Oryctolagus cuniculus: one gene and its partners. The protein of the gene in region 3 interacts with the protein of the main gene of each other region in a pairwise test. Links are inferred from orthologs where the notes say so. Each region holds a gene or a part of one and is shown on either strand. Other genes may lie near its edges.

Region 1 (4,038 bases), on a different chromosome or scaffold from region 3:
TTTTCTTTGCCCTGGCCAGCCAGTGCCAGACTCCCCCTCAGGTCACGTCAAGGTAGCCAGACTGCTGACTGGACAGTCGGCACATGTCTGTGGCAGCCGAGAGGAAAGGGAGCCACTCCGACACGTCGCCCGCGACCTCGGGGGTCCCGCTCGCTCTCCTCACGCCAGCCCCCTCTACGAGGGTCTCTGGCCAAAAGTTGCGCCCAGGGCGACTCTGCACCTGTGAAAGCCGGCAGCGGCTGGCGCCCCGTACGAGGCGTCCCCCTCGTGGCCCCAACAGGCCGGAGAGAGGGACAGCAGCAGGGCATGCCGCGACGCGGGCCCCGGGAGCCCACGGAAGCCCGGGAACGCACTCGCGCGAGCGCGGGCGGGGGCGGCCGCTCGGGAGGGACCTTTACCGGCGCACGCCGGTTCCAAGCCGCGCCCCAGCCGGCCGGAGCCCACTCTCCCCACCCGCGCCGGCCCAATCCAATCAGCGCCCGGCATCGCCTTAGCAACAGGCTAACAAACCTGGCCCCGCCCCTCGCCGGCCGCCCGGGGCGGGGCCTCCGCTGCCAGGCTCGTGTGAGAGCTCTCAGCTAAAGTCATTGAAACTACTCCAGGCAGAAGCTCGTCCACGCGTGGCCGGCTTCGGGGGGCGCCCGGCTGGGTGCGGGGCGTTCGGTTTTCCTCACCACGAAGTCGAGGTGCAGCTAACGACCTTGCTTTCCGCCCCAACGCATTGTTCTACTTTCCCTTCACTGCAAGGCTCAACTCTTGAGAGAAAAACCTTTTGTTTCTTCTCATTTTATAAAAGGCTCGAAATCAAACTCGCGTGTGCGCTTTGCAGCACACAGCAGAACTGTCATCAGGCGCTTTGCATTTCCTATCAGAGTTAACGCTTGGGAAGATGAACTAGAAATTACTTCAAGATGCAAAACCACCTAGGTGAACTGTGGAAACCCTGCCGAAGAACTGATTTCACCTGAGCATTTAAAAAAAAAATGCAATAATGCTGTAACTCAACGCTTCCTTTATTTCTCCCTTCCCTTAATTCAATTAGCATTTCCCTGGGATGTATATCTTGAATATAAAAACGCAGATAAAAGCGAGCCTCTTTCTGAAAAAGTCAGCATTTGCACTAAATACTGCATTAAAAAGGAGAAGCACAAAATTACATAACCAGTTTTAACATTATATTCTTCTTGGGCTAGAATTAAGTCATCGCCACCACCTGACGCGTGTAACCAATCTGCTGAGAGCTGCACAAGCGCCCCTCCTCACCACCCCCCAGAACTGGTCCGAAACAGGATTGAACCGCTTCTAACAAAGGGTGGAAACTTAGAAAAACAAGCTTAGAGTCTCCTATATTTCCACAATGTAGCCATCTAAACAATAGAGGGGAAATCTCAGGACCCCCTCTCCCTTTGACAACCCTCCATCTCCCCCTTCTAACCAAAAATCAAGTCCAGTGTGCGGTCTACTTTTCAATTCCATTGGACTGGCAGGGTTTCATTGAATGCACGTTCCAAAGTTAGACATGATGCTTGGAGAAGAAACTGCTGGCCCTGAATGGCTTCTGAACCTGACTGAACACCGGCCACGGTGATAGATACTGTCTTTTAAAATAAGGAATGCTTGATGCAAAATTCCCAAAGCATTGGAAAGAAGAGGTTAAAAAAAAAAAAAAACACGTGGGGTGTTGGTAATACCATATGTCAAAATAAGCCAGGGAAACCCTCTCTCAAAGAACAATGATCAATTCCTTATAAAGTCCTTTGCACGTTAATATTAAAAGGAAACACATCTACTAACCCTCCTAAAATGTTATTTCATTCCTTCCTTCAAGCTCAGGTTTTGAGCTAAGGTTGCAAAGAAAAAGGAAAAAATTTTAAAAATCTGATGCCGGACCGCAGCTTTCATCAATTCATTTGAAAACGTAGCAGTAAAATCATGGACTCGGAGGCAAGCAGAATTTCCGAGTGAGGTGCAAATGGACCGCAAGTGCGTATGGCACAGCCCGAGCCGGGTCCAGGGGTGGTGGAGACGAGGTGCAGTTTGCAGTCGCTTTGCAGATGCCGGCACGCATTACAGCCTCCCGTCAAGGAGAACCCAAACCTCGCAACTTTGCTAGCCTCCAGCAAACGGCCGAGCTACGCTGCGAGAACCACGTCCACCCGAGAAAGCCAGCCTGCAGACTGCCGAATGGTAGGAAAACTTACCTCTTTCGTGCCCAATTAAGATGTCTTTATGGTTGAAGTATTCTACTTCTTCGGTGTAGTTCTGCGTGTAGGCAGTATTGGAGCCGGCGTTTCTAGACTCCGTCCAGCGTACTTTCGCATGTCCTCTTGCATGAATTTTAAGCGATTTTACTCTGATTTCCCCAGTAACTTCTAAATTCACCCTTCCTGAGACAGTATCCCCGCTGGAATACACGGGGACATTGCTGTCATTCAGACAGTCGAAGCTTATTGTCAAATTCTTCACCTTCCCCAGCACCATGTTGATAACAAAAATCTATAAAAAATATAATGTAAGACCCCCAAAAAAGTCAAGATCGCATATAAAATGGGATCTTCACTCAACACTGATCGATGCTTCTGCCGTGCAAAAATGCAAACCCTTGCAGGCAGGATCAGTAGCTCCTTACAGACAGTTCATTGAGAGCTCTTAAAAGTCAGGGCAGCAGAGAGGCTGCGGCGGCGGCTCCGCGCGCCCGCCCGTCTCAGTGGTCTCCTTACAAAGACGGGCGGCCGGAGCCTGCCAGCTCACTTTAAGAGCAGCTTTGTGAAAAACAACCCCAGTGCGCACGCGCACGCCGCCGCGGCCGCCGGCCCCCCGGGCGCGCGCCCCCGCCGCGCCGCGCCGCGCCGCGCTCGCGCCCTCGCCGGGCACGCGCGCGGGTACAGTAGGCGTGGAGCCGGGGAAGCCGGCACGGGCGCTGCCGGGAGGCCCGGCCGGACTTCGCTGCATTGTGGGCTCCCATTGGCGGGCGGGCTGCCGGAAAGCCCCGGCGTGCTCCCCGGAGCCGCTGGCCGGGCGGCCTCTGACAGAGCGACCGCCGGCGGGGCGCTGAGGGACCGCGGGCCGCGTGGAGGGGCGGCCGGGCCGGCGCACGCGTTAGCGGCGCTGCGCGGATTCGCCCGCCGCCTGCCTGGGAGGAGGAGGAAGGGGGAGAAACCGGTCGGGCCAGCGGCTGGGTGGCTGAGCCTGAGCTAACGACTTTCGGGAGGAAAAAAAAAAAAAGTCCTGAAAACCGGGCCAGGAATCGTGGTCACAGACGAGAGCAGTCTCGGCGTGGATTTTATGCGCGTCCGTAGATGGCTGTAGACGGGGTGGAAGTGAGCTCCCTGGAGGCCAAAAGGGGGCCTGCGGAGCGGACGCCCTAAGGCAGCGAGGAAGAGGCGTAGGTCCCGTCCCCTCGGGGGGCTGTGCCGGCTCCGGCTACCCCGAGCGAGTCGCTGGCGACGTTGGGGGCAGGCGGCCCGCTTCCCCCGAGGAAGCCGAGGTCCTTGTTAGGGACGCCAGCCGTGGCCGGAGTCAGGGTGCAGGGTGCGCGGCTGCAGCCCTCGCGTCCACAGTGCCACCTTGCAGAAGGCAGGTGGCACGGTGGCGGCTCGGCGCACAGCCTTGGTGGGGAGTTGCTGGAGCGCGAGCGATGGTTTGAAGGAGCGAGATGCAGCGTGTGGAAAGCATAATTCTTAGCATCAGTGAGGATGCGGATTCTGCGGAGCCGCGGTTGTCCGCTGGACTGTTCAGCCTAGTCATTCCCGTGCATCCTAATAGGTACATTTGTCTTTTTTGATTGTGAGTGTTTCGGTAAGAAATAGCAGAGCCTGCGTCACGCCCCACTGGGATGCAGAGTGTAACAGCACAAACTCGTGTAGATTACTGGCCTCCGCAGAGCTGCTGTCAGGAGAGCTATAGAAAGACAGAAAAAGATGGGAATCTGAAGCCACATATACGTAACCAGGAATTCTTGGGAAGGTTTTTGGCTACGGCTGTGTCCATACGTTTTAGATTCTTCTGCGTAGTATGTTTGGGTAGATGGAGCCCGGG
Region 2 (3,514 bases), on a different chromosome or scaffold from region 3:
GTGGAGGATGGCCCAAGTGCTTGGGCCCTGCACCCACATGGGAGACCAGGAGGAAGCACCTGGCTCCTGGCCTCGGATCGGCGTAGCTCCGGCCATAGTGGCCATCTGGGGGGTGAACCAACAGAAGGAAGACCTTTCTCTCTGTCTCTCTCTCTCACTGTCTATAACTCTACCTGTCAAATTAAAAAAAAAAAAAAGACAATGGGCCATGGTGGCTGCAGTTGAGCCCTGTTCCATCTGGGACAGTTGCTCAGATTTTTTTTTTTTATAGTAATGAAGTCTTTAAAATTCTGCTGCCTGGTAAGATAAGGGCAAATATTCCTGAGAGAAGTAGGCACACCAAGAGCATGTGGAATCGTGAACCAGTGATGGGGGAGCATGGTTGCAAGGATCTGAATGTGTCCCCCTGACTCACGTGTAGGAAACCTAATCCCCATGCAACTACGTCGGGAGGTAGAGTTTTCAGCAGGAGTTTAGGTCACGTGGCTCTGCCCTGACGAATGGGTTAAGGCCATGTGAACAGGGCTCCAGGGAGCAGGTTCTCCTTTGATCTCCGGCCGCAGGAGCACACAACGCTCCTTCCCTCTGGGGGACTCAGCCATCAGGCACCACCGCCTTGGAAAACCCAATATTGGCACCTTGACCTTGAACTTGACCTTGAACTTCTCAGTCTCCAGAACTGGGATGAATAAGTTTCTGTTCTTGGTAAATTACCCAAGCTGTGGCACCCTGCTACAGCAGGACAAATGGACTAAGACAATGGTCTAAGCTTTTATCAGTAAAAGGTTCTGTATGTCCATTATCTTGTAACAATGTTCCCAGCAGTCATGTCACAACCAGGTGAATGGGGAGACAGGCACAGAAATGGTAAGAAACCTGCCCAAGGAGACCCCAGAGCCTAGGCTCTCTCAACCAAGTCTCCAGGAAGCCTTTGCTGGTTTTGCTGGCTTCTCTGCTGTACCCGGGCCGGAGGCACACGGAGACACAGTTGCTGCCTTTTGGATTCCTGGCACGGGCCAATTTCTTAGACCCGGGGCCACCCTGGAGTAGTGGAGGGGGTGAGGGCCGCCCCGTCCTGGGCTTACAAAGGAGAGAAGCCTCTGCTGCAATCAGACTTCTGTTTCTGACAGTAACTTGAGAAGCCCTTCCTCAAGGAGATACCCATGCTAGGAGCGGCTGTATTTATAGAAGTTCAATAAATAAACCTCTTCTGGGAGGTCAGGGTAGCTCACAGGAAATGCAGAGCCTCTGCCTATGAAAACTCAATGGCAACTATGGGTGAAAGCAGTAGGAAGACGTTCGCCTAGCCACCCACCAACTGGTGTTCACGGCCAGTGGCTGTAAGGTCAACTTGTCGTGAGGCTGGCCAAGGCGGTCCAATCTAGAAACATCTTAATGGACTATGCATCCAAAGTGAGTAAGCGTAGCTCTCTGAAGAAGGAAGGTGGGCTGCACCCTAACACTATGGGGTGCTCGCTCCTGGGGCTCCAGGCTGGCGCCACAGACCCGGCACAGGGGCGTTTTGCGGGCACCCCCGCCCCTTGCCTGCCTTCTGGAGAGATCTAGGTAGAAAAGGTTTGTCTGCTGTCGCCCAGGGGCTGTCCCAGGGCTCACCGGGACGAACCCCAGGAGGCACCCAGGTCCTCTGAGAGTGGAGCGAGCCACGGAAAGAGCAGGATTCCGGTGGAGCAGCGAAGAGAACAGAAAGAGAGGAGAAAGCAAGGTCAGGGAGTGTGCGCGATGGGCTGCGCTCCGAAACCCACATGAGTCACTTTCCCTTTCTGCGGCAGCAGGAAACGGAATCTGGGCCTCCTCTGAGGTCAACCAGATGCCCAGCCACAGCCTCAGCGAGCCAAGGAGTTCAGTGTGAAGAGGGTGTTTCTCTCCCCAACAACAACCTACCGGCCAGTCTGGGACACCCTCTGCAGGCCGCACAAGGTGCAGAGAGGAGAGGCAGGTCTCCTTGAAGTCTCCTTGGCCTCCCTAACCCTTGGCTGGTTTCCTGAAACACCAGGGAGCCCTCCTGGCCCCAGAAGCTCTGGGATTCCAGGAGGTCCCTCCCTGCACGACAGAGAGGCTGAGCTGTCCCATGGGCCTGCCCTGTGCCATCTGTCCCCCCAGCTGAGTCAGCTGAGCATCCTCGGGCTCCTGCCTGGGCTGGAGGGCAGGGAGGGGATGCAGCAGGGGGAACGGGGTGGGGGGGCTCCTGTTGACTCGAGAGACAGGTGGAAGGAATGCTAATGGCATCTGGGTGAGTTCCATCTCCAAGTCACACACACCTGCCCCAAACTCAGGAAAACTGCTCCCCAAAGCCCTCAACTGGCACCAAACAGGGACAAAAAAACAGACATCTCTGGCCCTCTCAGTAAAAGATGCTAGTCTCTCTGTGGAACTCAGAGATTTTCTTTTGGAAGCTCAAATATAAGACTGCTCACCCTTGACACTCAGCTTATTGTCACTTCTTACAGGAAGTCATCCCTGACTGACTGACACACCTCACTAGTTCAGTTTAGGGAGACCTCCTCTCTGCACCCAGAATCCCTCTTTTGAGCGCTTCCCTGATCCTTCCCGGATCAAGCCGGTGTGCTTCCTCTTCGGAGGGGAGGAAGCAGGTCTAACTTTGAATTTCAATGACCCAGCACAGCCAGCAGGAAGCAGCAGAGGAGTGATGATGTCTGTTGCATGAATAAATGAAGTCACACTTTAGAGAGCTTTGATTCCAGATGTCACCAACGACCAGATGAACTCCTGTGATAGTTCATTCTACAAATACTACTTCCTCAGATGTAAGAAACCAATGCTGAGCTAGAATTTGAAAAAGAAAATAAGCACGGTGCCTATTTTTCCTCACCGAGGAAGATGGAATGAATAATTAATCATTTCTTAATGGCTGGGAAGAATGTCAGGACTGCTCAGAGCTGCCGACAGTGTTATAATGAAACATCGATTTGGCCTGATGGGGAGCGTTTCCAGGGCAACAGCGACTCTCAATCATGTCAAATTACAGCCCTTATCTCCCCGGGTGTCGCTTTTCCCTAAGTAGCTAACTGAAAGTGGAAAAGCCTATCTTTAGGTCAAGGTTTGACTTCTCTTGGATTCATCTGCTTTATCAGACAAAAGAGAGAATGAGGCAAAGAGGGCAGCAAACCCTGGAAAACCACCCCCTCCATTGCAGATGTCCCGGAACGCTCAGGGCTTGGGCTTGGAGAGCACCCCCAGGGGCACTGGGGGAGGGTCGGTGGATACCTGCGGCTCAGCCGAGGAGTACACGAGTAAAATGTAGCAAAATAGGACGGCGGAGGCACCGGCGGCACGAAGTCGTCGGGGTCTGGGATCCGCCCGTGTTCTTCCAGCTCCTCTGCGGAAATCTGGGCTTCATCCTGATCACAAAGCACCCGGTTAGTCCCCAGCGCTCACCGCCCAGAAGAGCACTGGGCGCCACCCAGGGGCCCACCTCAGACCCCCCGCGGGGACTCACGATGCAGGATCTCCGGGTGGCGAAGATCTGGAGGTA
Region 3 (3,514 bases):
TGCAGGGTCCCTGGGCCGCGGGTTTCAGCTGAGACAGAGGAAGCCAGGTTTGAGCTATTAATGCCCTCAATCCATCAACATGCCCTGAAGTATTTGGCTTCAGGAGCGAAACCCAATCTGCTATCGACGCGTCCCTGACTCCTTGTTCTGGATTTCCTGTTTCAGCCAGTGCGAAGCCGGGAGGGCTGGGATGTGGTCTCGGTTTCCTAACAGCACAGCTCCGAGGGCTTAGGATCCACTCCTGAGCACCAAGCACCATGGACAAGCACCTCTCTGTGCTTTGGAACTAGAAAGCCCTGTGTGAAAGGGGGGCCCCAGCTTGGAGCCAGAGCCCGAGTGTCCAGTCCCAGCTCGGCAACTTCCAGCTCCGTGCACGTTCACACAACGCTGGGGCTGACGTGCGGCCAACAACCTGTCCTTGCTGGGTGACCTCCGCCGCCGCCAGCCAGGCCCAGATAGATGCCCTGCTCATTAACAGGCGCCTGGCCTAGGGCCAGGCCTCTCTTACCTCAGGTCCATGGGAGACTGGGGGCTGGGCTGCCGCAGCTGCCACCGCCTGTGCACACTGTTGTTTCTCTGGCTGCGTGGCATCCGGCACAGCCCGCAGAGGTGACTGGGACCTCTGCGGCGCAGCGGCGGCTGCCTCGGTTCGGAATCGCTGTGCCCCAGGCTGGGAATAGACGTGGAAAGTGTGCGGCTGCCGGTTCTCAGCGCCTTCGTGGAGGACGGGGATGGGAATGTAGCCTGGTCGGAGCTGGGGGTACACAGGGTGGCCCTCCCTAGCGGGCAGCAGCCTGGCACCCTCCCGCGAGGGCCCATTGGCTGAGGATGGAGTCTCCTAAAGGGAAGAAACACAGATGGGTTAGAAACTGGTAAGAAAACGCTGCGAGAAGGCAACTGTGGCATCGAGAGCGTGATCTCCCAGAGTGCTCTGCACCCCAGAGTGTCAGCTGGGACGCGCCCAGCCCCCTGCCTCTGCCACCAGCTCTACTGCTGTCTGGGGGCATCAGGAGAGAGGTGAGCCAGGGTAGCTGTGGAGCACAGCGAGTTCCCAATTCCCAAACTGACAGCAGTGAATGAGAGCAGCCGACTGTCCCCAGATCTTCAGAGATCCAGACCAGAAGGTGGGCCCTTGGAAGCAGGGTCCAGCTGCAACCACCACCAATGTATAGCAAAAAAAAATTAATAAAAGATCACCTCCTAGATTTCCAGTCCAAACACAAACACAGAACACAGTTGGGAAGTCTTTGCAGAGAAGTGGGGTGGCACAGGCGCTGCCCCTGCAGCGATATGGTCAGGAACAACCAGAAAGGCAGGGCCAGCCGGGAGGGGAAGCATCTGGGGATTCCCTGAGCTCGGCTTCCACAAGGATTCTTTGCTCAAACTTTATTTCAGATTTCAGAACCTTCTTCTCCTAGGCCCATCAGCGCATTCCCCTGTAAGATCCAGTTTTAGCAGAAGAACCCTGCTCAGTTGGTTTAGCCAGAGTGCCCCACCCTGGATATCTGATCCACTTCCTCAGCCTCCAGGGTCTGCTCACGCCACAGGCCCGGCTGCAGCAAGAATCCTGTTAGGTAGGTTTGGCCAGAATCTCTCTGACCCTGACTTCCCCTTAGTCACTTTCTGTCCAGGGCCACACCCTGCTCCGCGGCTGTAAAGCCCCCCTTGCCCACATCGGTCTCTCTGCCCCGCCCCTGCCCGTTGCAGGCTTCCTTGTGGACCTCAGCCCAGGCCCCCGAGTCAGTCTCCTCTAGCATTACAGGGCCCACTCTTGCGAGCGGCGGCTGGGGACCCCCTCTTCCGTCCTCTCTCGCAGTCTCCCTTCAGTGGCCTGGCTATTTTGGGACCCTTGAGAAGGCCGCGTTCCAGATGCTCCGCAGGGAAAGATCTTATTTCAGACAAGGCCGGTGGGTCACTGGGCACTGCCATCTCTCAGCACACAGAGGCTGTGCAATGAAGCCCTGACCCCTTGGACTAGGGCTCCTTTCACGGGGTGGGGGAAGGGCACTGATCTGTGTCATCCGTACACATCCCAGTGCACAGACCCCTGAGCCCTTCCTGTAGGAGGAGTCTTGCTGAATGGCAAGCACACGTGGGGAATCTAAGCTTGCACAGTACAAGTCCCACTGGCGCAAAATCCACCAAAAGCGAGACAGACAACAAGGGCTGCTCTGCATTCTGAGTGCAGACAACACTAACTGCAATCCCGCTGAGACCCTGCCTAGGGCGGGCGTCCAGCACACAGAAAAGGCAAGGGTGTCGCCCTGTCCTTGGGGACACAGGCAGGCAGGCAGTCTCAGATTAGAATAGCCACGTGCTCAGGGCGGCAGCATTATTTTAGCCTGCTTAACTCTCAGGTCACCCAAGAGCAGGCAGTGGGTCTGGACGTCAGATTCGGAACCCAGTTCCTGCCGTGGGACAGGCAGTAAAAGGCAGCAGGCTGGAGGTGCTGAGAAAGCTTCGGCTGCTCCGCCGAGAGCCACAACACGCCCTCCCGGAGTGCCGTCCACCCCCAGCCCACCCCCACTTCCTTCCAGCTGCAATCTCGGCCTGCACGGCCGTGCGATGTCATCTCTGCGGGCTGCCTGCAGGCTCACTGCTTCTCCCCAGACACTGCACACTCCAGAGCCCAGCAGTCAGGACGCCTTCACCACGTGCTGGTGGGTCTCTCGGGCTCACCAAACCAGCAAGGCACCCTCTCTTGCAACAAGGAGCTTAGAAGATGGGTTAAGGGTGCCTGGGGCAAATATAAAGAGGCCTGAGGTACGGGGGAGATGGGGCTTTCAAGGGTGGAACCAGCCTGGATGGGAGCCAGCAACACTGAGCCTGCAGAGCTGCAGTGAGGTTTTGTAAGACCCATGAGAAGGGACGCAGGGGCCTGCGACAAACAGGAGCTCCCCCTACATAGGCACAAGACAGTGCCTGTCAGACTGGGGGGGGGGGCAGGGGGACGGGGGCACGGCAGCGGAACCAAGGTGAAGGACAATCAACAGTGACACAAGTCAAATGGTGGTCACCCCAGAGGAGAGGACATGGCCAGACAGGGGTCTGAAAGAACCTTCTGAGGTTCTGTCTTCTGGGGGCAGGAAATGGGTGTGCTCCTGTGAAAACCTGTCCAATAATACCTTCTCTGTAGTCCCGACACTGCCACCCCCTAGAATCCTTAGCTAGGCCTGGCTGAGCTCTCGGCTCTACCTGGAGAAAGCCCCTGTGTCCAGGAAGCTGGCCTTATCTGTATCTTACTGACCATATTCTGTACCTCAACTTTAAGAGACAAGAGAGGGGCCAGACAGTGGTTAAAGCCCCAGCCTGCAGTCCCGACATCCCATATGGGAGCCAGTGTGAGTCCTGGCTGCTCCTCTTCCAATCCAGCTCTCTGCTGTGGCCTGGGAAAGCAGCAGAAGATGGCCCAAGTTCTTGGGCCTCTGCACCCACGTGGGAGACCAGGAAGAAGCTCCTGGCTCCTGGCTTTGGATCAGCTCAACTCTGGCCGTTGCGGTAATTTGGGGAGTGA
Region 4 (4,226 bases), on a different chromosome or scaffold from region 3:
CCCTGGCCTGAAATGCCGGCATCCTATATGGGCGCCGGTTTGAGTCCCTGCTGCTCCACTTCCCATCCGGCTCTCTGCTGTGGCCTGAGAAAGCAGTGGAAGATGGCCCAAGGCCTTGGGTCCCTGCACCTGCGTGGGAGACCCGGAAGAAACTCCTGGCTCCTGGCTTTGGATCGGTGCAGCTCCGGCTGTTGCGGCCATTTGGGGAGTGAACCAGTGGATGGAAGACCTCTCTCTCTCTCTCTGTAACTCTTTCAAATAAATAAATAAATCTTTAAAAAAAAAAAAAAAGGCAACACTTGCCATGAACAGGAGAAAACCGACGCACAAGCGCGCCAAATACAACGCCGGGACACTCTGGCTCCACAGCGCAGTCCTGGAGCCAGGAGGGCTGAGCCAGCCTGGGGAGCCGTGACAGCCACGTTAGCTGGGAGCGAGGTGGGAGGGGCTACCCCCTGGAAAGAGCAGGGCGGGGCCTCCCACCGGCCCCTGCTCAGCGCGTGCTCCTCGCCCTTCAGGGGGTTCCTCTCTGGCCCCAGGGTTCCTTTTGCTTTTAGGCCTGGAAATCCCTGGAGCAGATGCCTGGGGGCTGTGGCTGGGCTGCAGGGGGCTCCCCTAAGGCTGCCTGCGTCTGCTTCACCCCCCTCCCCCCACAAGCCCCTCCAGCACTGGGAGGGGGGGGAGTGGGCACAGGGCCAGGCTGGCACAGGGCAGGGCCGACTGGGCCCCGGCAGGCCCGAGGGAGCAGGGGTGAGCTCATCCCCCGCCCTTAATTATCGTCTTGGCTAATGAGCAGCTGGGAACCTGCAGCCCGGCCCACAGGGAGGACCCTGGGGACCCTGGGCCAGATGTCACCCGGAGGCACCGGGAGGAAACTGCTCTGGGGGAAGGGACTTACACTTCCTGCCTCCTCCCAGCCAGGGATGACAGCGGGGCCGGGGCCGGGGCAGGCAGGACACTGGAGGGGCTCCAACCCCGGGCTGGGCACTGCTGTTCTGTGGCCTTCAGCAAACGACTCGGGCCCTCGCTGTGTTAAGTGTGGGGAACACTGCCCCGCCCTGGCCCCGCCTGGGGTGCTCGTGAGACCTGCAGACCACAGCCAGGGTCTGCTCTACGGCACCCTCCCCGGGTGCACACGCACCCTGGGGTGCCTCGGCTCCTCTTCCGTAGAATGGGTGTGAAATGTCTGTCCAGTTCCCAGCAAATGCCACCGGTACAATTCACAGTAACTTAGCATTACTGGAACATTCTAGACAAGAGGGGCTCAGAGGGCTGCTGCAGGTCCCCCATCCTCAGCCCACCCCCGAGGTGGGTTTCATGAGACCCACCCTGAAGACGAGGCACCCAAGGCTCTGGGGGTGCAGCAACGTGCCGGGGAAGTTCAAGTTCACGGCCCAACCCGTTCAACCCTAGCACTGACGGCACCAGCGAGTGGCCAGGAGGCCGTCCTCTGTGCCAAGCACTCGATGTGCTCACACCAGAGAAAACAGCACAGAGAGGTCAGGCTGCTTTTCCAAAGCCACACAGCATAAACGGCTGGACTCGAACCCTGGCAGTCTGCCAACTTCCATTACCACTTTCCCCCGAGAATCTGTTCCCCCAAGTGTCCCTGCCTGCCTGGCATCGCGACGCCAGCTCTGGCTCTGGGGTTCCAAGCCTGCCCTGCCCAGCTCTTACCACTAATGATGCTCTGCTGGCTGGAGGCTGGGACCGCAAAGGCCGCTGGAACTGGCTTTGTGGGAAGAACCTGTTTCCTGCCACTCTGGACTCCCAGGTGTGACGGACAGCCAGAGCACAGGGCAGCCAGCCTGTGTGCCTGGCGCTCCTCTGCAGAAAAGACAGAGAATGGAGCAGACCCAACCCAGGGAAAAGCTCATCACCACCCCCAACTCCCAAGGCCCTCCCTTGCTCTGCCCCCCAAATGTTTAATTTCACAAGGGGCAGGAGAGATGGGGAGGTGGGGCGGGGGGGGGGGGTTAGGAAAGCCCCTGCCAAGGAAGGGCCATTCAAGCTGAGATCAATGAAGTGGAGAAGTGGCACGGGCAGGAGCAAGTGGCATGGCAAAGGCACTGGGGCAGGAACAGCCTGGTGCTCTGACGGCGCGGGAGGAGAGCCCAGGCCGTGCAGGAGGGAGCCAGGGATGCCCGACGCCCTGGCCTGCAAGCTTCTGCCAGAGACAGGCAAAGAAGCTACCGGCGGACAAGCCGTCCAGCTCCCAGGAGCCCCAGGTCCACCAGCCCCTCTGGGCTCACCGGCCTTGCAGCACCCACCCCTCGAACGGGCCTCACTGGCCACGGCGAGCGCCCACTTGCAGCGACCAGCTGCTATGCCCACACTAACTGGGGCCTCTCCCAGCCGGGGGCGCAGGCCTGGAACCAAACCCTGGGATCCCTCCGCACCTCGCAGCGGTAAGGTGGGCTAGCTCCGTGGGGGTCTGTCTTGAGCTAAGCGTACTCACTGGTAGGACAGGGCTGGGCATCTGGTGGGCAGGGCGCCTGCTATTACGGTCAAAATAAGCAGGATGACACACTGTCAAGGGGGTGGAACTCTCTGGCTCCCGCTGCGCTGAGGCCTCCGGGGCAGCAGGCATGTGGCCGAGGTTCGATAAACCTTACGAATGAGTAAACGACCAGCTGGCTCCAGTCCCAAGCTCTTACCTGCCGGGCGCCTCAGTTTCCCCGTCGGTAAGCGCGCGGGAAGAGGACAGCCCGTGGGGCTGGGGTGAGGCTGGCGGAGGCACGGCGCTGACGGCGCGGCCCCAACCCACCAGCGCCCCCCGCCCCGCCCGCCGTCCCGCCAGCTGCGCGGAGCCCCCGCCCACGCCGGCCGCCCCGGCCCCGGCCCCGAGCGCACGTGACTCCGCCCCGGCCCGGCCCGCCCCGCCGTCCCAGCGCAGGCGCCTATTGGCCACGCCGGAGGTCCCCGCCCCCGTCCGGGGCGGAGCCTGAGGCGCCCCGCCCGCCGCAGAGCGGGGTTCCTGCGTCCCGACGGTGCGCGGCGGCCGGACCGGGCTGGCGGGCTGGCGGGCGGAGCCGGGCCCGCGGGGCTGCTGCGGGGCGACCGGGCCGGGGCTGCGGGCTGCGCCATGGTGAGCGGGGCCGGGCGGGCTGGGCGGTGCGCCAGGCGGGGGCTTGAGGGAGGGGAAGGGGCGGCCCCGGACGGGGTGGGGGCGCGCGCGCGGGCGCGCGGGGCGGCGGTGCCCCGGGCCTGGGTGGGAGGTGGTCTTCGCGGCGAGGGAGGGGCGGCCCGGGCCGGGGCGCGGCTGGCGGGAGGGAGGGTCTGTCTGTTCCGGGGGCCGCGCCCGCGGCGGGGGCTCTTTGTCCGCTGCGCTGCGGAGAGGTCGGGACAAAGGAGGCGGCGGGGGGCGGAGGCCGCCTCGCGGGGAGCGGTGCTCCAGCCCCCTGTGCACGCCCCCCGCCCAGGCCCGGGCCGGCCTCCGGGGCTCCCTGGGACACTTCGAGGATTTTCAAAATTGCTTCCAAGGCTTGGGTCCTGGCAGCCCCCAGCGCGGTCAGGCGGATTGCGGCGACGGAATCAGGCGGGAGTCAGGGGTCCGGGCGACGTCCGGCGCCTGGCGCGCGGGTGGGGAAACTGAGGCGGGCGCGGCTCCGTCGGCGGTGACGGCGTGGCGTGGGCAGGACTGGGTCTCGTGGCCGCCGACCCCCGCCCCAAGGCGGGCCGGCTCCAGCCGCCTCCAGCTGTCGCCCCCTCCCCAGCTGTCGCCCCCCCCGGCCGAGCCCCTGCGTCCCTGGCACCGGGCTTGCTGCTCCGTGCGGCGCGGGGACGCCGGCGGCCCCGCCAGGGTTAATGAGAGGGTGCGTGGAGCGCCTGGCACCCAGCCTGCTCGCCGCCCGCGCTCGCTGGCGTATGGGTGCTTGTCATCCTGAGTCCCGAGGGCGACCGCCCTGGGGTCAGCTGGTCCCAGGCCCCTCGGGCACCGGGGAGAGGAGCTGGGGGTGGGTGGGTGAAGACTGTGACAGTTTAGGGTCACGATTGGGAGCTGGAGTTCCGGCTGCAGGCCACCTGGGTGATTGGGTCTGTGCGCACCTACTTTTGAGCTGTGTGACCTTGGGTAGCTGACTTGACTTCTCTGAGCCTTAGCGCCTCCGTCTGCCACCCGCGGGGTGGTTTGGACGTGGGAAGGAGACATCTGCCCAAGGCATTAGTGCTGGCACACGGCGACTGCGCCAACTTTTCTCCAGCTTCCCCTGTTATTCCCAGAGTTG
Region 5 (2,885 bases), on a different chromosome or scaffold from region 3:
AGCAGCTGGAATTCCGAGCCAAGAACCTGCAGCCCCAAGTGCTCTCCTCCTTTACCTCGATGTTTCCAATGGTTCTGTACCTCACTGTGGAGGAGTTGAAAAGCTATGATCCGAACCAGCTCCGACCTCAGCCTGCCTCCAACACCAGGCAGTGTTGTTATTTGTCAAACCAGATGGATATGTGAGGTGTTACCAATCTCCTCTTACCACAAAGAGAGTTACAATGAACAGCTTTGTGCATTCTACTTGCTATTTATGCCAGCCTATCTCTAGGCATCTTACTTCTTTTCTCATCTTACTATAATACTCTTATGTTCGAGATACTGGGACCCCATGGGATAAACTAGAGATAAGCTCTATGCAAGGAAATAGCCACTCCAGGGCACCTCAGAGACCAGCTATTCCAACGGCACATCACAGAATCCTTACCATTTCTCTCACAAGACCCGACACTTCTTGGAGAAAAAGAGAAAAGTTACTTTGCCAAGGATAACACCACAAAGAATAAACAAGTACAGTTTTATTTTCCATGTGCATTTGCAAAACACTTAGGACCAACATAAAAAAGGAAAAATCTTGTGGGGAAAAATTACATTAAAAATGGAGAGCTCAGAGAAGCTAGCTACAGCAACTCTGATTGGTCCAAGGAATCGAAAAAACTTCAGCTGAAAATAATAGGAAGGAGAATTGGAGTTTATTGAGGAAGAGGGCCCCGAAGTGGGCCTCGAGGGGGAACTGGAGGCCGGGGAGTGGGTCTGGGTGGAGGAAGGGGGCCCCGCTGGTAGCCATAGGGCGGGGGCCGTGGAGGACCAGTGTACCCATGAGGCGGCATCAGTGGAGGGGGTCCTCGCATACCATGTGGAGGCATAGGGCCTGGGTGACCTGCAAAAAGGGAAACAGAAATTAGTAGCAGTGAGTTACAGGAGACAGTTGATGTTGGAAGACCTGTGGGAAGAGGAAAAAGTGACTTAAAGAAACGTGAGAAAGAAAAGAACAGGCATGGGAAAGCTGACAAAGAAAGCTGTGAGAATGATACATATGCAGACAGGAGGAGGCTACAGCCCACTCACCCATGGGAGATCCAAACGGAGGTCCTCTGGGGGGCATGCCCATTGGAGGAGGTCCAGGATGAGGCATTCCAGGAGGTGGGCGTGGTGGTGGCTGTCCCCCAGAGCCTGGGGGCCCAGCATGGGGGTGTCCTAAGCCATGAGGGCCATGGTGGGCCAGCTGCATCTGAGACATCCCTGTGAAAATAAGAGACAAGGGGAAAATCAGGAAGAGAACAAAGATGGAGAAGAGAGCAACATGAGAAAGAAAATGACATCAGGAAGAGAAGGGGCTAGAAAATCCAAGGTGCTCCTGTCCCTGCTCCCACCCCAACAGGACAAACCACCGCACGTCATGGTTCCTCAATGACCCAGGCACTGGAATAGTAATGCACAAGTGTGTAACCACTGGAGGGATTACTCCACTGACAGGACAGGCTGCCCCAACAGCCACCTAAAGGACAGAATGTTTCAGGAGGATGAGAACATGGAAACAAACTGTCCAAGGCAGAAAGGTGAGCATTTGAGAATCACAGGCGTGTCAAAGAGCACAGACGTCTCGTCTCGGCAAATACCAGTAACTCAGCAATAATCTGGAGCAGTGGCTATGGGGGTGATGGCAGGACCAGATCAGGAAACGCCCTGAAAGCCACGGTACTGAGTGTGTGGGGAAGCTTTACTCTGCAGGTAGAAGGGCACAACAGAATTTTGAGAAAGGGTATCTGAATACCTGGCGGAAAAACATCTGGGAAAATAGATTCAGGACAACACTGTAATCAAAGTGGCAAGAGATCAGCACAGTTAAGTGTGAAATAACAAGGGACTAAGAGCTTGCACTAGGGCACTGGCAGGGGAGGCAGATACCACAAGTCTAAGAGTTCGTATGACAAGTGAGGCGAGGGCGCAGTGCTGTGGCACAGCAGGTTAAGTGCTGTCTACAATGCTGGCATCCTTATGGGCGCCAGTTTGAGACCCAGATGAAGCTTCTGGCTCCTGGCTTTGGCCTGGCACAGCCCAGGACGTTGCAGCCATTTGGGGAGTAAACCAGCAGATGAAGATTGATTTCTCTGTAGTTCTGCCTTTCAAATAAATAAAATTAATATTTAAAAGCAGGAAGTGAGGTGACAGGGAATAATCAAACACAGCCCTAGACTCATGAATTATGCACCTGAAAAATACGGAAGACTTATAGAATAGGTTTGAAGGGGGAGGGCCCCGCACTGTGGCACAGCAAGTCAAGCAGCTGCTGGTAACTCCAGCATCCCACATGGAGCAAAGGCTCAAGTTCTGACTGCTCCACTTCAGATCCCTGCTAGTGAGCCCGGGAAAGCTGCAGACGATGGTCCAAGTACTTGGGTCCTTGCTCACCCACATGGGAGACACAAATGGAGTTCCTGGCTCCTGGTTTTGGCCTGATCCAGCCCTGGCCATTGCAGCCATTTGAACTAGTAGATGGAAGCTCTCTTTCTCTGTCTCATCTTCTTTGTAACTCTGCCTTTCAAATAAATAATTACATAAAGAAATTTTTTTTGAACGGAAGAGACAGAGTGCCCAGTCGCTGAAACTGGGGGAGAGCGAGGTTACAAGGTTGAAAAGAGAGAATTACACCTGGGCAGGCCAGGAGGGCGGCTCAGTAGAGAGGCAAAGGTGAGCGCACAATCCATTTGGACTCCCTAGGTTTTTTTTGTTTTTTTTTTTCTTTTTTTTCTTTTTATTCACAGAGAGAAAAGAGGCAGAGAAAGAGAAAGGTCTTCCATCTGATGGTTCACTCCTCAATAGGCTGCAATGGCCAGAGCTGTGCCGATCCGAAGCCAGGAGCCAGGAGCCTCCTCCGGGTCT

The links.
Region 1: the proteins of BAG3 (region 3) and ARRDC3 interact in binary tests that used the Homo sapiens proteins (3 or more experiments, as listed by UniProt). The two-hybrid records come from large-scale screens. The link is inferred for Oryctolagus cuniculus from reciprocal best matches to the Homo sapiens genes BAG3 and ARRDC3.
Region 2: the proteins of BAG3 (region 3) and ENTREP1 interact in a two-hybrid assay, tested with the Homo sapiens proteins (2 studies listed by BioGRID and IntAct). The link is inferred for Oryctolagus cuniculus from reciprocal best matches to the Homo sapiens genes BAG3 and ENTREP1.
Region 4: the proteins of BAG3 (region 3) and LITAF interact in binary tests that used the Homo sapiens proteins (3 or more experiments, as listed by UniProt). The two-hybrid records come from large-scale screens. The link is inferred for Oryctolagus cuniculus from reciprocal best matches to the Homo sapiens genes BAG3 and LITAF.
Region 5: the proteins of BAG3 (region 3) and SF3B4 interact in binary tests that used the Homo sapiens proteins (3 or more experiments, as listed by UniProt). The two-hybrid records come from large-scale screens. The link is inferred for Oryctolagus cuniculus from reciprocal best matches to the Homo sapiens genes BAG3 and SF3B4.

Annotation. Positions count from the first base shown.
Region 1 is NC_091445.1:14,128,079-14,132,116, forward strand, and holds the start of ARRDC3 (arrestin domain-containing protein 3), read right to left. Parts: upstream 2,809-4,038; 5' UTR 2,482-2,808; coding exon 2,202-2,481; intron 390-2,201; exon of another isoform or gene 309-389; coding exon of another isoform or gene 221-308; intron 1-220. UniProt on the Homo sapiens protein: Adapter protein that plays a role in regulating cell-surface expression of adrenergic receptors and probably also other G protein-coupled receptors.
Region 2 is NC_091432.1:161,052,854-161,056,367, forward strand, and holds part of ENTREP1 (endosomal transmembrane epsin interactor 1), read right to left. Parts: coding exon 3,479-3,514; intron 3,381-3,478; coding exon 3,247-3,380; intron 1-3,246. UniProt on the Homo sapiens protein: Functions as an activator of the E3 ubiquitin protein ligase ITCH in the ubiquitination of the CXCL12-activated CXCR4 receptor. Thereby, triggers CXCR4 endocytosis and desensitization, negatively regulating the CXCL12/CXCR4 signaling pathway.
Region 3 is NC_091446.1:11,052,109-11,055,622, forward strand, and holds part of BAG3 (BAG family molecular chaperone regulator 3), read right to left. Parts: intron 839-3,514; coding exon 509-838; intron 1-508. UniProt on the Homo sapiens protein: Co-chaperone and adapter protein that connects different classes of molecular chaperones including heat shock proteins 70 (HSP70s), e.g. HSPA1A/HSP70 or HSPA8/HSC70, and small heat shock proteins (sHSPs), e.g. HSPB8.
Region 4 is NC_091450.1:25,061,933-25,066,158, reverse strand, and holds the start of LITAF (lipopolysaccharide-induced tumor necrosis factor-alpha factor), read right to left. Parts: upstream 2,811-4,226; 5' UTR 2,658-2,810; intron 1,828-2,657; 5' UTR 1,678-1,827; intron 1-1,677.
Region 5 is NC_091438.1:48,030,195-48,033,079, reverse strand, and holds the end of SF3B4 (splicing factor 3B subunit 4), read right to left. Parts: intron 1,245-2,885; coding exon 1,071-1,244; intron 883-1,070; coding exon 695-882; 3' UTR 503-694; downstream 1-502. UniProt on the Homo sapiens protein: Component of the 17S U2 SnRNP complex of the spliceosome, a large ribonucleoprotein complex that removes introns from transcribed pre-mRNAs.